Anolis sagrei: one gene and its partner. Each later gene encodes a partner of the first gene's protein in a complex. Links are inferred from orthologs where the notes say so. Each region holds a gene or a part of one and is shown on either strand. Other genes may lie near its edges. The genes, in order: STRIP1 and PDCD10.

What was found.
Region 2: STRIP1 (region 1) and PDCD10 share a complex: the UniProt entries of both Homo sapiens proteins name them as parts of the core of STRIPAK complex. The link is inferred for Anolis sagrei from reciprocal best matches to the Homo sapiens genes STRIP1 and PDCD10.

The regions. Positions count from the first base shown.
Region 1 is NC_090024.1:183,920,895-183,928,496, reverse strand, and holds the start of STRIP1 (striatin-interacting protein 1), read left to right. Parts: upstream 1-4,177; 5' UTR 4,178-4,210; coding exon 4,211-4,357; intron 4,358-6,913; coding exon 6,914-6,983; intron 6,984-7,602. UniProt on the Homo sapiens protein: Plays a role in the regulation of cell morphology and cytoskeletal organization. Required in the cortical actin filament dynamics and cell shape. Part of the striatin-interacting phosphatase and kinase (STRIPAK) complexes.
Region 2 is NC_090023.1:250,379,093-250,387,099, reverse strand, and holds the start of PDCD10 (programmed cell death protein 10), read left to right. Parts: upstream 1-4,855; 5' UTR 4,856-5,025; exon of another isoform or gene 5,026-5,035; intron 5,036-5,084; exon of another isoform or gene 5,085-5,246; intron 5,247-8,007. UniProt on the Homo sapiens protein: Promotes cell proliferation. Modulates apoptotic pathways. Increases mitogen-activated protein kinase activity and STK26 activity. Important for cell migration, and for normal structure and assembly of the Golgi complex.

The DNA of each region.
Region 1 (7,602 bases):
TTATTTATAACAATAAAAATAACACTTTATTTATAACCTGCCCTCTCTTCCCATCACTCCATGGATTTTAGGCTTTCCTCTTCTTCCTCTTCTTCCAATCAAGACAGCCCAATACCTTATTTAAAATGCAGTGGATGAGAATTCCTTTTGCATCTAGCTTGGAGAAAATTTAAAACCGATAATTTCAGTTGCTGAATTCCTAAGGCCCACTATGAAGCAGATCAGCATATTTGAGCTGAACCATCTCTTGTACTTTATTCCTTCATTTGCACAATACAGGAGGTGCTTGGATGATAATAGTAGCTTAAATTCTCTGATCCCATAAAGAATTAGTCATTTATGTAAAACATTTTCTTCCATCTTCAGGCTTCATTTGTAGCAAATGAATTTTGAAGGCGGAATCCCACTTCATTGGCACTGCCGTTTTAAATGCTCTGCTGTTTTAATGATCTCAGTTCTGTTAGGCTGGCATGTTAAGTTAACATACAGTCCATATTTTAGTGCCATGAAAATGAGGGGAGGCTTCCGCATGGATGGGGGGGGGGGGGTATTAAGTTAAAAATGGCAGTTCAGGCAAATATTGCCTGAGTCTGATTATTGCAAATATGTGCTGAAGTCTTGAGGGGCAGTAAGAACAAGCCAGAAACTACTGTGAATCATCGTGAATACATGACCAACCTTGAACTTTCTGCCTTTTCATGTAATCTTTGCAGAAGACATGATGTAAATACAGAAGATGACATTCCTAATTCCATCTTCATGAAATCTGTCCCACTATTCTTATGTAGGTGTTATCCTTCACTGAGAAAAATAAATTGCCTGTGATGAGGAGCCTGAGCCACCAAACCTTAGCACAACCGCCATGCTTACTCTCTGCCCCTAAATGACTGTCCTGTAGTATCTTTTGTACCAGATGAGTGTTTGGTTTCAACTGGCCTTGCAAAATGGTGCTGGCTAATGACAGACTTGAATTCAGGATCTCCCTCGGCCTTTTCAACTTGCAGCCATCCCATTCCCCAGAATCCGATTTTAGGTTCAGCCAGCCCTAATAGAATCAGTTCTTTCCTTTTTGTATCGCAGTCCTCCTCTTGTTTCTTGATTCTCTTATCACACATTTTGATCCTAGAATTGGCTTGGGTCCCTCTAAGCCAGTGGTTCTCAACCTGTGGGTCCCCAGATGTTTTGGCCTTCAACTTCCAGAAATCTTAACAGCTGGTAAACTGGCTGGGATTTCTGTAGGCCAAAAACCTGGGGACTCACAAGTTGAGAGCCACTGCTCTAAGCCAATGTGAGTGAATCTCCAAAACTCCTCCGTGATGTTCAGGAGGATACCTTTATTCCATTTGTCTGCCTCTGTGTTGCAGTGTCAATAGATGACTTAGCTAAGGGCTCCATCTCTGTATAAGCCATGGAATAAACTCTCATGCCTGGCAACACCTCAGTTTGGTTGGAGGGAGCATGTTATAGCATCAACCCAGGTGGGGATAGGTTTATTTTGTATATGAATGATTTTTAATGAATGCAATATTAATTCTTGCAGATGAGCAATAAATCATTACGCAAAGTCTAAATAAAATGGTTAGAAAATTACCTTTGCTTTGATTTTTTCCCCTTCTGGATGAATAGCCAGAAGTAGCAGTTTCAAAGGTACTGGAGAGGAGACAAGCTACCTGCCAGTTTCAGTGTTAGATCTCAGTTTTTATATTATTCCCTTGGAGAGCCATGTACCTTTCTCCAGGCAGAGTAAGAAAGTATATATTAATTGAGTACACTGATGGATACCCATCATATTGAACAACATAATACAGATTTGCTATTCCAAGAAGAAAAATACTTTGAGATTGGGGAAAAAACAGATATTGACCATAAAGAAGTGATGAAAAGTCCTGGACTCATTCTTCCACCATCATTACTAATGGACATTTTAAAAAGGGACTTCTGATTACAGTTATCTTTTTACTACAAGGCATGTTACTGGCTAAATAAAACTGAATAAAACTAGTTAAAATTATTAATATTGAACTGGGGAAGTAATTGACAGGGCATTGCTTCAATACTCTTTAAAATGTATTTTCTTAATAGGAATCCTTTTCTTAATAGGGACGTTTTAAATATAGGATGCAAAATTGTGCTTAGACTTAGCTTTCCTAAATGAATACGCAATGGGGTCATGCACAAGTCATGCTTCCCCAGCTGAAAGTGAGCCTGCTTTTGCTAATCTTTCATTTGAAACATTAAAGGGACTTCCATTTTCATTTATCCATTTAAAAGGCTGTCCTATGATAGGAAGCTCTCAGGGTGACTTAAAGGATTAAATACATGGGATAAAATCAACAGTAGTAAAATGCATGCTACTGAAATTGCAATGCAGCATGAAAATCGATGGACGATGATCAAGTGCAGATAATACAAAGAGTGAAAGAAAGGTAAAAGATGGTGCACCAAGATTTAAAAGCTCTTGTTGGTACCGAAAGAGCAGTCGAATTAGGTGCCAAGTGTATTGCTTTAAAGAAGGCATTATGTAACTAGGACACTACTAAAAAGCACCCAGTTTTCTCATCTTGTGGAGGTATCTGAACAAAAGCCTCTAAATGTAGGATCCAGGTGGGTATAACCAGGAAGAGACAGTCCTTTGAGCATCAAGCTCATAAGCAGCTTAAGAGTCATAACCTACACTTCTGTTCAGTTTTAGAAACAAAATAAGAAGAAATAAAGATGTCAATAATACTGGCCAACACACCTTTTGGTGCCTTATATGTAAGACCTGTCTGTTTCTGGGTATGTTTGACCTGCTGATTCCAAAAATGGCACCAGTTTTCCCCCCTTACAACTCTATTTTTTTACATACAGAACATATGCCACCTACCAGTTACCATCTGCTTTCCCATAGAAAATCATAACTACATGCAAGAAACTTTCTAATGCAATTATCTAAATCAATACCCCCAAATAATCCCAGAAACAGTCTTAAAAACCAAGATGTCAATATATTTTAATTGGGCTGTGTAATAGGTATTACAGGATAGCATGTGAGGTGCTAACTCAATTTGAGATTTAGCATAAGAATGGAAAGAAGCCATGAACAGAAACCTTCCGAAAGAATCTAGAGATCAAATAAGTCAACGAACCCTGCCATGATCTGTCATTGAAGATGAAGGAAAAGAGCATCAAATCAGATGAATACTGGTGGAACCTCAATTTGTGGGCTCATATCATGATACTCATAATAACGGTTAAAGGTAAAGGTTTCCCCTTGACAGTTGTGCCCAACTTTGGCGGTGGTGCTAATCTCCATTTCTAAGCTGAAGAGCTGCCATTATCAGTAGACGCCTCCAAGGTCATGTGGCTGGCATGTCTGCATGGAAAGCCCTTACCTTCCTGCTGAAGTGGTACCTATTGATCTACCCATATTTGCATGTTTTTGAACTGCTAGGTTGGCAAAAGCTGGGGCTAACAGCGGGAGCTCACCTCGTTCGGATTCAAACCTCCGACTTTTCGGTCAGCAAGTTCAGCGGCTCAGTGGTTTAACCCGCTGCGCTACTGTTCCATTATTCTAAAGGTCAATCATCTTGGTTAGAAGAGAGGAAATTGCATTTTTAAAAGAAAATTTCCAACTTAACAGATCCCGACGATTCCTGTCTCTGGGTCTGACCTTGTGATTTTGTCTCTTGCCACTCCTCACTTTGCCACACACATAAAGGCATAAAAGGGGAGAAAGGTCAACAGTTGTTGGGAGCCTTCAGGTGGTTTGTTTCTAACCAATGCAACCCTATGACTTATGACTGGGGGTGTTTTTTAAAACAAGGTTTGTTCAGAAGAAGCCTTTGCCTTCCTCAGAGGCTGAGAAAGTGTGGCTTACCCAAGATCACCCAGTGAATATAAATCAGGCATGGCCACACTTGGGGCCTCCAGGTGTTTTGGACTTCAACTCCCACCATTCCTAACAGCCTCAGGCCCTTTCCCCCCTCAGCGGCTGAGGGGGGAAAGGAAAGGGCCTGAGGCTGTTAGGAATGGTGGGAGTTGAAGTCCAAAACACCTGGAGGCCCCAAGTGTGGCCATACCTGGCCTAGCCACTCCAAACATGGCTCCTGCGCGGGGAGCCGCCGTCTAAGTCTATCCGCCACTCTCAAGATGGCGGCGTTTCCGGCAAGCTTGTTGCTCTGCCAAGTCTCGCGAGAGCTGTCGGCGCGACGTCGTCGTCGTCGTCGTGATGGAGCCGGGCGGTGTCGGGGGTCCGGGCGGCTTGCTCATTGTCAACAACAAGCAACGGAGCGGGGCGCTGGGGCTGGCCACGCCGCCGACGGGGCCCGGGGGAAAGGGCCGGGAACCCAACCGCAACCAGCGGAAGGACTCGGAGGTCGGTGGGAGAGGGGGCCAGGGGGGTTGGCTGGCTGGCTGGCGCGGGGGAAGAGGCAGGCTCCTCAGCTCACCTGCCAGGCAGGCCTTGTGTGTTCCAGGCACAGGCCCATTGTCAGCCAATAGGAGCTGTGGTGATAACGCCTCAATGGTACCACATCCTGGCTGATCTGGGAAAGCTAAGCAGGGTCAGTCCTGGTTCGCACTTGGGTGGGAGGCCGCCAAAAAGTACCAGGTGGGAAGGCAATATTTCTTCAGAGGAATGAAGTGGCACGTTTTGATACCACTATGTAACAACATTTGAATTGTTTTCTGTTCCTGGTTTGAAAGTGTTATGTCCTGTTTACTTGTGCACTCCTTACTTTGAAAGTAGTTGTTATCCTCCAGAAACTTCGTTTTTGTGGCTGCCACAAACTATGTTGAATTGACTGAGGCCCCATGAGATATTCATTGGAAAACTATAGCAAAACGTGCTGCAGGATGTCCCGCAAAAACAAATTATTATTATTATTATTATTATTATTATTATTACAAAGTCCACATACCATAAGAGTTTTCAGTCAGAGGTATAGTAGCGGTAGATCATCATCTAATCTTCCTCCTCTCTATATGCTAATGAGCAAAGGTAAGAGTTCAGTTGTTCTTTGGAGAGAAGGGATATTATGGTGTTTGTTTATATTTTGCTTTTCCTCTCCAGAAGAAGAAAATTTTTGCAGTTTAATAAACCTTTTCAATGTTTTTATGATAGAACCAATTAGGAAATGACATTGAAACCCAAGGACAAAAATCATATTGCTTAGTGTACTCAGCTAGCAGCTATTTGTTCAGCCATACATGAACTGTTGACCTTGTTTGAAGAGATGATGGTGCCTACATCCATTCTTTTTGATTTAGCATTTGTTTTTAAATCTTGGCATGGAAAACTATCAATGGGTGCATCTACACTGTAGAATTCATACAGTTTGACACCACTTCAACTGCCCTGGCTCAATGGTATGGGTTATAGAATTTATAGTTTGGTGAGGTGCCGGCACTCTTTGGAGAGAAGGCTAAAGACTTTGTCAAACTACAGCTCCCATGATGCTGTAGCACAGAGTGGAATCAAACTGCATTCATTCTATAGTGTACTTGGGTGGGAGACCACCAAGGAATAGCAGGTGCTGAAGACTATGCTTCAGAAGAAGAAACTGGCAAACCCACCATTGACTTTCCCTAATCTAAGAAAGTTTGCAAAATTAATGGTATCTCCATAAGTCAATTGACCATTTTAAGGCGCATACACACACACAGGTAAATGCATTTATATTGAAGAAGAACTTTTCTAATAGTGATGTAATCAGAGTTACAAATTCCTTCTTAAATTGCAATTTGTCTGTCCAGCCATGCACCCACTGCTGGCATTGTTGAAGCACAGAGCTACAAACCACTCAAACATTCTCTTGTAGTGTCATGACACTTCTCTACATGTGAAATCTTGTTATAGGTATATATTCTTTTTATTACAAACATGCCAGAATTACATGCTGTTAAGACATACATTTTGGGGACACACACTATGTGTATGTATATAGATAGATGAATAAAGAGAGAGGGGAGAAAGTGATTGAACTGTTTACCTCTCAAACTGAAAATCCCTCCACTGGCTGCCTTCATGGGAGCTTTTGCTTCCATTCTCATCATACTTGGGAGCAGAGACCTTTCTGAAGTCCCATTGAACTTGGTTGTACCTTACTTCCAGGTAGATAGTCTAAGGGTACATGTGCACTGTACAATTAATACAATTCAACAACACTTTAACTCAGTAGTTCCCAACCTTTTCTTGACCAGGGACCACTCTCCAACATTAGTACCAAAAGGGTTACGAAGCAGTTTTTGGTCCATTTTAGATTCTGTTTGGTTATTTGGGGTGCTGATTCAGAAAATTGCATTGGATAGACCACATCAGCTCTAGTTTCTGATACAGAACATATGCCATCCAGTAGTCGCCATCTGCTTGCCCACAGAAAACCATATTTAATAAGCCTCTGTACTATAAGAGGGTTTTGCACGACCAGTCGCTCTCGTTGCAACGGTGTAGCAACTGAGTCTGCGGACCATATTTTAGTTATTACGCACCACTGGTGATCCATAGACCACAGGGTGGAAATCACTGCTTTAACTGCTGTGACTCAGTGCTATGGAATCATGGGAGTTGTAGTTTATAAGGTATTTAGCCTTCTCTGCTGAAGAGGGCTAGTACCTCACCAAACTACAAGTCCCATAACTCCAAAGCATAGAGTCAATGGCAGATAAAGTGGCATCAGACTGTAAAAAATCTACAGTGTAGATGCGCCCAATGACTTTCAGGATGACTGGAGATTGACACTTGCGTAATGTAGCAGAGCAGGCTTGAGGGAGGGGAAGATTTATGCAATCCTTTCAGGATGAACAGGTTACCATGGTAACTATGAAGCTGTGGGTGGAAAGTTAAGCAATGTTTAATACTGAACCTGCCTTAGTCAACAGGATTTTTTTTTTAATTTACGTTGCCTTATCTCAAATTTAATTTATTTTGTAGGGCTTCTCAGAATCGCCAGACTTTGAATTTGAATATGCCGATACAGACAAATGGGCTGCTGAACTGTCAGGTAAAATAGAACCCGGCTTAGAGTTGTTCCTGATCTTGCTTTCTTTTGAATCATTTCATTAATCTTTGTAATGAATACTGAGATTTCAGAAAAATTAAATATTTGGAGAATGATGCTCTTATTTTTCTAAGGAATCCTGTGCAAGGAAAGTATAAACAGAAATCTTTGTAAAATGGAAAAGGCACTCGTTGTACATTATATTATGATTTCCATTTTTGTTAAATGCTGTTCTTTTTGCAAATTCAGTCAGTGTAATAGGTTGGATCCAGATTGACGTCTCTATATTTAAAAGGCTGTCTTGTGTCTCTGTATTTGTTAAAATACAAAACGATCTCAAATCATGCTGCTGATGTTTCAGCAAAGCACTGTCTTCTTTAAAAGCATTTATATTCTGCCCTTCTCACCCCGAAGGGGTCTCAGGGTGGAGCACAACATATAAACGGCAAACATTCAATGCCGGATATAATTACACTATACACCTACATAAACATTAAAATCGGAGCTCCCGGTGGTGCTTTGGGTTAAACCCCTGTGCCAGCAGGACTGAAGACCTACACGTCATAGGTTCAAATCCGATGAGAGCGTGGATGAGCTCCCTCTGTCACCTCCAGCTCCCCAT
Region 2 (8,007 bases), on another chromosome or scaffold:
TGGTGGTTCGCGAAAAGGCCTTACTGGTGCATTATTTAAACTGTTATGTTTATTCATATCATTATCTGATCACCATGCTCAATATATCCCATATGCATGGGGGTATTGGGGTAATAATACAAAAGGTTTGCTAGGCTAGACCCTCTTTCACTCAGACTCAGCCCCCCCCCCCCCCAAAACTCAGCCCCCCCCGAAACCCCCCCAAAAATTTTTTAGCCCCCCCCCCGAAACGAAATCCTGGCTACGGGCCTGGTCAAGGATCTTCACAGCTAGCCTCTTCCCTGGGCACATTTACACAAATTTAAGTCCCACAGAGTTCAATGAAACATAGAATGAATGAATGCCGTTTGACACCACTTTAAAAGCCATGGCTCAATGCTAAGAAATAATAAGAGATAATAATCATCATCATCATCATGAAGCTGACAGAGGGAGCTCTACCTGGATTTGAACCTCCGACCTGTCAGTCTTTAGTCCTGCTGGCAGAAGGGTTTAATCCATTGAGCCACTGGGGGCTCCTAACAAACTCATGATCCCCTAGCATTGAACGGTGGCAGTTAAAGTGGCATCAAACTGTATTTGTTCTACAGTGTAGATGCCCTTCCACTCCCAATAAAGAAGTGTAGACTCACATCCTTAGTAAAAAAATTGAGGGAGGAGGCTACATTGCAGCAAGAGAACAAAAAAAAATATTGTGGAATTTTAAAGACTAGTTGGTTTTATTTGGCACAAGTTTCCATAGGCTACACAATCCATTTCATGAGATGTAGCCTGAACAACAATGTGAAACCAAATGTAGAAATCGCATGGAAAACCTGTATATAAACATTCTTCCCTATATTATTTCAATATCTCTTTTCTACTGCGTACAGCCTTCTTTCTTTTCTTTAAAAGCATCTGGAAACACTAAGTGACAACCTCATTCGAAGTCAGTGACAAAATTGCTCATTATAAAGATTTCCATCTGTACCAACAGAGATGAAAGAGACCAATTGCAAAGCCTAATGGCCATCTCAATGGACCGACATTCTATATAAAACTTTTGAAGAGATAGATGTCAAATACGGTACTCATCTTTACAAGAACCAGTAATGTGGGAGACGCAACACTATAGGATGAGCTAGGGATAAATACTGATACTGCCCAATTCTGAACCAACTCTATCTATCTATCTATCTATCTATCTACACAGACACACACACACAGACAGATAGATAGATACTAGCCGTTCCCTGCCACACGTTGCTGTGGCCCACATGGGGGTTCTGTGGGGGAGGTTTGGCCCAATTCTATCGTTGGTGGGCTTCAGAATGCTCTGTGATTGTAGAACTATAAATCCCAGCAACTACAACTCCCAAATGTCAAGATTCTATTTTCCCCAAACTCCACCAGTGTTCACATTTGGGCACATTGAGTATTTGTGTAGAGTTTGGTCCAGATCCATCATTGTTTGTGTCCACAGTGATCTCTGGATGTAGGTGAACTACAACTCCAAAACCAAAGGACACTGCCCACCAAACCCTTCCAGAGTTTTCTGTTGGTCATGGGAGAACTGTGTGCCAAGTTTGGTTCAATTCCATCGTTGGTTGGGGTTCAGAATGCTCTTTGATTGTAGGTGAACTATAAATCGCAGCAACTACAACTCCCATATGACAAAATCAATTTTTTTGAGTGAAGGACATACATTGGGTTGTTAAGTGTCTTGTGTCCAAATTTGATGTCAATTTGTCCAGTGGTTTTTGAATTCTGTTAATCCCATAAACGAACATTACAATTTTATTTATACAGATGTGTGTGTGTGTTATTTATTTATTTATTTAGGCATGTGTAGTCCTTTCTCAACCTCTGCAGAGGAACTCAGGGTGGCTACCAACCGGCAAAGCACAGTGCCAACAACAAAGTAAAAACAAGCATATATACACATATTATAATAAAACAGATATAAAAATTCATTAAAACAGTTTGCCAATTTAAGTCGTCATCCTAGAAACATTCCATTAAAACAGTAAGTCAGTCTACTCTGCGAATGCTTGATCCCACAACCAGGATACATATATATGAAAAAATATACTGACTTTACCTAGATATAGATATATACCTCAAACGATATTTCGTAGCATTACTTTAACTCTTGAAGGGTAAATGACAGTGACTCTCAACTGCAAACACATACAAATCGGGGATTCAACCAGTAAGTCAGTCTGCTCTGCAAATGCTTGATCCCACAACCAGGATACATATATATGAAAAATATACTGACTTTACCAAGATATAGATATATACCTCAAATGACATTTCGTAGCATTATTTTAACTCTTGAAGGGGTAAATGACAGTGCCTCTCAACCGCAAACACACACAAATCGGGGCTTACGGAGAATGACAAAGGGGGAAATGCCCATTATCTTTGAGCAAAAGGAGCATTTGCTATAATTATTCCATATAATCAGTTACTTCACAAAATTCAATACAGGGAGGGGAAATGACTGCAGGTAGAAATTATTTAATTTGCAACATCACTGTTAAAGCTTGCAGTGGCGGAAAGGAAGAGAGACAACAATATATCCTCATAGGTTGCTAGCAACAGGGGAAAACATAGAAAAGCCTCTGGGAAGTGATCCAGCACTTAGCTGAGAAGATGCTTGGGAAGGAAATTGGGAGAGGGTGAAGTTAAGATACGGGGAGAGCTGCCCAATTAAATAATAATAAAAATAACAACAACAATAATAACAATAAACAATAATAAACAAAAAAATTTGTTGTGTCAGGAGCAAGTCGCTTCTGGTGTGAGAGAATTGGCCGTCTGCAAGGACGTTGCCCAGGGGACGCCTGGATGATTTGATGTTTTTATCATCCTTGTGGGAGGCTTCTCTCATGTCCCCGCATGAGGAGCTGGAGCTGAAAGAGGGAGCTCATCCGCCTCTCCCCGGATTCGAACCTGCAACCTGTCGGTCTTCAGTCCTGCCGGCACAGGGGTTTAACCTACTGCGCCACCGGGGGCTCCTGATAATATAACAATAATAATATAACAATATAACAATATTATTATTATTATTATTATTATTATTTACTGCGCTTATATACAGCAATTCTCAGCCCCAAGGGCGACTCATTGCGGTATATTGTTAATATATTGATATATTGATAATATATTGTTAATATATCCTGATAATATAACAATAATAATATAGATCTCACAACAATAATAATAAACAATAATAATATAGACCTCGTTTGCTGTGACATACTGCATTTTGTGTCTGTCAATTAATAATAAATAATTTATGAAATTTTTAATAATTAGTATAATTAGAGGAAAGAATGAAAACTTGTCTATATTTTTCTAATCAAAATAAAGAGGAGTGGGAAACAACCACTATCCTGATCTTATTCAGTGGGTTCAAGTTATGCTACTGGAAGATCTGCCCAAAATAATAATAATAATTGCATTTTGGGGGAAATATGTAAACTAGTTTATTGTTCCCAAGCAAAAGAAAGGGGAAGATGAACCATCCACTACTAAATTCCTATTCAGTGGAGCCAAAGATCAATTATATTCACTCTTCTTCTCAAAGGAAAGACATAAACAAAAGGGGAGAGGCAATCAAGCCTTGCAAAGAGGTGACTGGCAGCAGAGCTTACCTGCCCCAAAGGTGCTTTCAAGAGCGATGGAGAGAGATGTTCCAGATGTGGCTCCGCACTCAGAGCCCGCTGCTTCCTTCGCCGGCACCGCCTCAGGGATTGTTTCTGGTGCGCCTCTGCGCTGGGAATGGTTTTACTCCGCAGGCCCGCCCACTTCCCCTTCGCTCCGCCCCCTTTCTGCCTAATATGGAAAACGCCACGCCCCCTTTCTCCCGATTGGTGTATCGCTTCTCCCCTTCTTATGCTTCTTCGCGCTTTCTCTCCGCCCCTTTTTTTTCCAAATATGGGCAACGCCACGCCCCTCACTCCCTTTTGGCCTCCCCCTCCTCTCCCTTTAAGATGCTTTCTCTCCGCCCATTTTGTTCCTAATATGGGCAAAAGCCACGCCCCCTTCCTCCCTATTGGCTTAGTCTTCCTCTCCCTTTCGGATTCTACTTCTCAATGTCTCTCCGCCCACTTTCGTCCTAATATGGGCAAAAGCCACGCCCCTTACTCCCTATTGGCCTTTCCGTCCTCTCCCTTTCGGGTGCCACTTCCCAATGTCTCTCACTTCGTCTATTCTGCCTTCAATATAGAGGTAACGCCCCGCCCCTTGCTCCCTCTTGCCCCCCTCCTCTCCCTTTCGGATGCTACTTCCCAATCTCTTTCTCTCCGCCCACTTTTTCCTAATATGGTCAAAAGCCACGCCCCCTTTTTCCCTATTGTCCTCCCCCTCCTCTCCCTTTCAGATGCTACTTTGCAATGTCTCTCTCTCTCTCCGCCCACTTTCTTCCTAATATGGGCAACGCCCCGCCCCTTACTCCCTATTGCCCCCCTCCTTTTCAGATGCTACTTTCCAATCTCTCTGTCTCCGCCCACTTTCTTCCTAATATGGGCAACGCCACGCCCCTTGCTCCCTCTTGGCTCCCCCTCCTCTTCCTTTCGGATGCTATTTCAAGATGTCTCTGTCTCCGCCCACTTTCGTCCTAATATGGGCAACGCCACGCCCCTTACTCCCTATTGGGCTCCCCCTCCTCTCCCTTTCGGGTGCTGCTTCCTAATGTCTCGCTCTTCGTCTACACGCCACTTGCTCCCTATTGGGCTCCTCCTCCTCTCCCTTTCGAACGCTACTTCCCAATCTCTCTCTCTCCTAATATGGGCAACGCCACGCCCCCTTCCTCCCTATTGGTCCCCTTTCATGAGTCTCTTGCGGTCTTCGCAAAGCATCTCGGTAGTTGTAGTGTTCAAGGCGCGACTACAGGCCCCGTGGGCCCCCGCGGTCGCCGGCTAGTTCCGGACAACGCCTGGTGTGTGGTAACGACGGCGGTGGCATAGGAGAGAAGGAGGACGCTGCTACTTCCGGCCTCGGCGAAAGAGGAGCCTCGAAGGGCGGACAGGCAGGCGGGTGAGGGGAGGTGAGGCGGCCGCTGCGCGCTCTCCTTCGGTAGTAGTGGGGTCGCTGGCAGGGCCTGGCCTGCGGGGCTTCGAGGACGGGGTTGGCCCCTGGCAAGCCGACTTGAGGGCAGGCGTCGGGCCTAGTGGCTTGGCTGAGGAGAGAGACAGAGAGAGAGGGGAACGCGGTTGGTTCTTCCTAGTCCCCGAAAGAGGAGGCCCTCCTTTGCTGAGGTATCCAGCCCGAGTGGCGGGGAGGAAGGAGAGGGAATTCGGGGAGGTGGACTAGGCCTCAGCCTGGAGGTCAGGGTTCAGGAGACCCATTGGGTGACCTTGGGCGAGCCACACTCTCTCAGCCTCAAGGGCAACCCCCTCTCTGGAGAAATCTTGCCCTGTGATGGGGTGCCTTGAGGGTCACCCTAATTAAGGAACTATTGAAGCCATGGGGAGGATTATATGTATTTATACCCCCACTTTATCTCCCCCAAAGGGGACTCAAGGCAGCAAAACATAAAAGCATTTGCATAACCCAGGCATGGGCAAAATTTGGCCCTCCCTCCAGGTGTTTTGGAATTCAACTCCCATAATTCCTAGCAGCCGGTAGGCCAGGCATGGGCAAACTCCAGCCCTCCAGGTGTTTTGGACTTCAACTCCCATGATTCTTAGCAGCCAGTAGGCCAGGTATGGGCAAACTCCAGCCCTCCAGGTGTTTTGGACTTCAACTCCCATAATTCCTAGCAGACGGTAGGCCAGGCATGGGCAGACTCCAGCCCTCCAGGGGTTTTGGACTTCAACTCCCACAATTCCTAACAGCCACAGGCCCTTTCATTTTTCCCCGCAGCCGCTTAAGCCGCTTAAGCTGCTGAGGGGAAAAATGAAAGGGCCTGTGGCTGTTAGGAATTGTGGGAGTTGAAGTCCAAAACCCCTGGAGGGTCGAAGTTTGCCCATATCTGCAATAGGCTGTTAGGAATTGTGGGAATCGAAATCCAAAACACTTGCCTGGCATAGCCATTTGAAAGATACAAACATTGAAATAGTATTTTTAAATTCCCAGTTAAAAATCATCCAAACACATTCACAGTTGAAAACCACAGCAGCCGCCGTGAATTATTCTTAAGATGAGGAGAGACAGGTAAAAATGGTATTGATTGTTGTTCTTGAAGGCACACAACAACAATGGCCATAAATAAGAAATTGGTAGGTGCATTATATTGCGGAGCAGGCATGGGCAAGCTTCAGCCCTCCATCCAGGTGTTTTGGACTTCAACTCCCACAATTCCTAACAGCAGGAATTGTGGGAGTTAAAGTCCAAAACATCTGGAGGGCCGAAGTTTACCCAGAAGACCAAAGTTTGGGAACAAATGCAGTTTTGCAGCACTTTAATTGCCGCAGCCCATTGCTATGGAATCACAGGAGCTGTGGTATGATTCAAAAGACGGTCTCAAAGCTAACTTTAAAAAATGTGGTATAAACACATTTTGATTCTTATGCAGACGTGATGTTTTGGAGGAGAGACAGGTCAAAATGGTATTGGTTATTGTTATTGAACTTACACAACAACAACAATGGCAATAAAGAAGAAATTGGTAGGTGCGTTACATTGAGGAGTGCATCTACACCAGGCATGGGCAAACTTCAGCCCTCCATCCAGGTGTTTTGGACTTCAACTCCTACAATTCCTAACAGCCAGTAGGCTGTTAGAAATTGTGGGAGTTGAAGTCTAAAACATCTGGAGGGCTGAAGTTTGCCCAGAAGACCAGAGTTTGGGAACAAATGCAGTGCTGCAGCCCATTGCTATGGAATCACAGGAGTTGTGGTATGATTTAAAAGCCGGTCTCAAAGCTAACTTTAAAAAAATGTGGTATAAACACAGAGAACTGGGAAGCCCTGCCACCCCAGCATTGTAACAGGAAGTCAACATTTACAAACGGTGCAATGGATTTTGAAGAGGCTGGAGTGCAGGGTGTAACAAGCCAAGAGGAAGTCGCACCCTTTGTTGTGACTGCCTTCCATCTTGAAATTGATGTCCTCATTGCGAAACGCCATGCGGATCTAGCATAGGTCTTCACAGGGCCCTTCCAGACAGGCCCTATATCCCAGGAACTGATCCCGAGTTTTCTGCTTTAAACTAGATTATATGAGTCCCTGTTGCCAGATAATCTGAGATGAGATCCCGGGATATAGAACCTGTCTGGATGGGCCCACAGTCACAGACCCACCATCAAGAATCTACCTCTGGAAGATGATCATATGCAGCCACGAGGGATTGCCTACAAGGTCTTTATCCTTCCCTAGTAAAATATACTGATGCCTGACCAAATTACAACTCCCATGATTCCATATCATAGAACCATGGCAGTCAAAGGGATTCCAAACTGCATTAATTCTGCAGTTTAAATGTGCCTAAGCATAAATTAACCAAGGAGTTTGGGGGGGTTTTTTATAAGGTGGAAAAAAAATAATGGGGATGGCAGGAGGAAGAGGTAGTAGAAGTGAGGGTTTTGTTTTCTTGGTGTTGATAGAGAAAGTCTGGCCAGAGCCAGCTGTATTTGAGGAAAAATAAGGTGCCAGTCTTAAACAGTAGACTTGGATTGCCAACAAATTCTTTGTTGCTTATAGTGGGCCCTTGGAATCTGCCAGGTTTTGGTTCTAGGACTCCCTGCGGATACCAAAAATTGTAGGTTCCTTATATAAAATGCTGTTCCTTATATATAATGGTGAAATCAAGATTTGTCTTTGGAAATAGTTGAATCCCTGATGTTGAACTCATGGATACAGAGAGACTGACTGTACTTCATTACTGTGCTTTTGCTTCCAGGGATGGGGAGTGGTGGCGTTCCGCCTCATTTGCTGAAATAATTAGGCAGGCTTCAGAGTTTTGGTTTCATTGACTTCGGTGACATTGACCATTGTTTGCTATTCTTTCTCAGGCCACAAAATGTATTGGGCCAACCCTGAGTATGGCCCACTTGGACTAAGGTTGGTTGTGGAAATG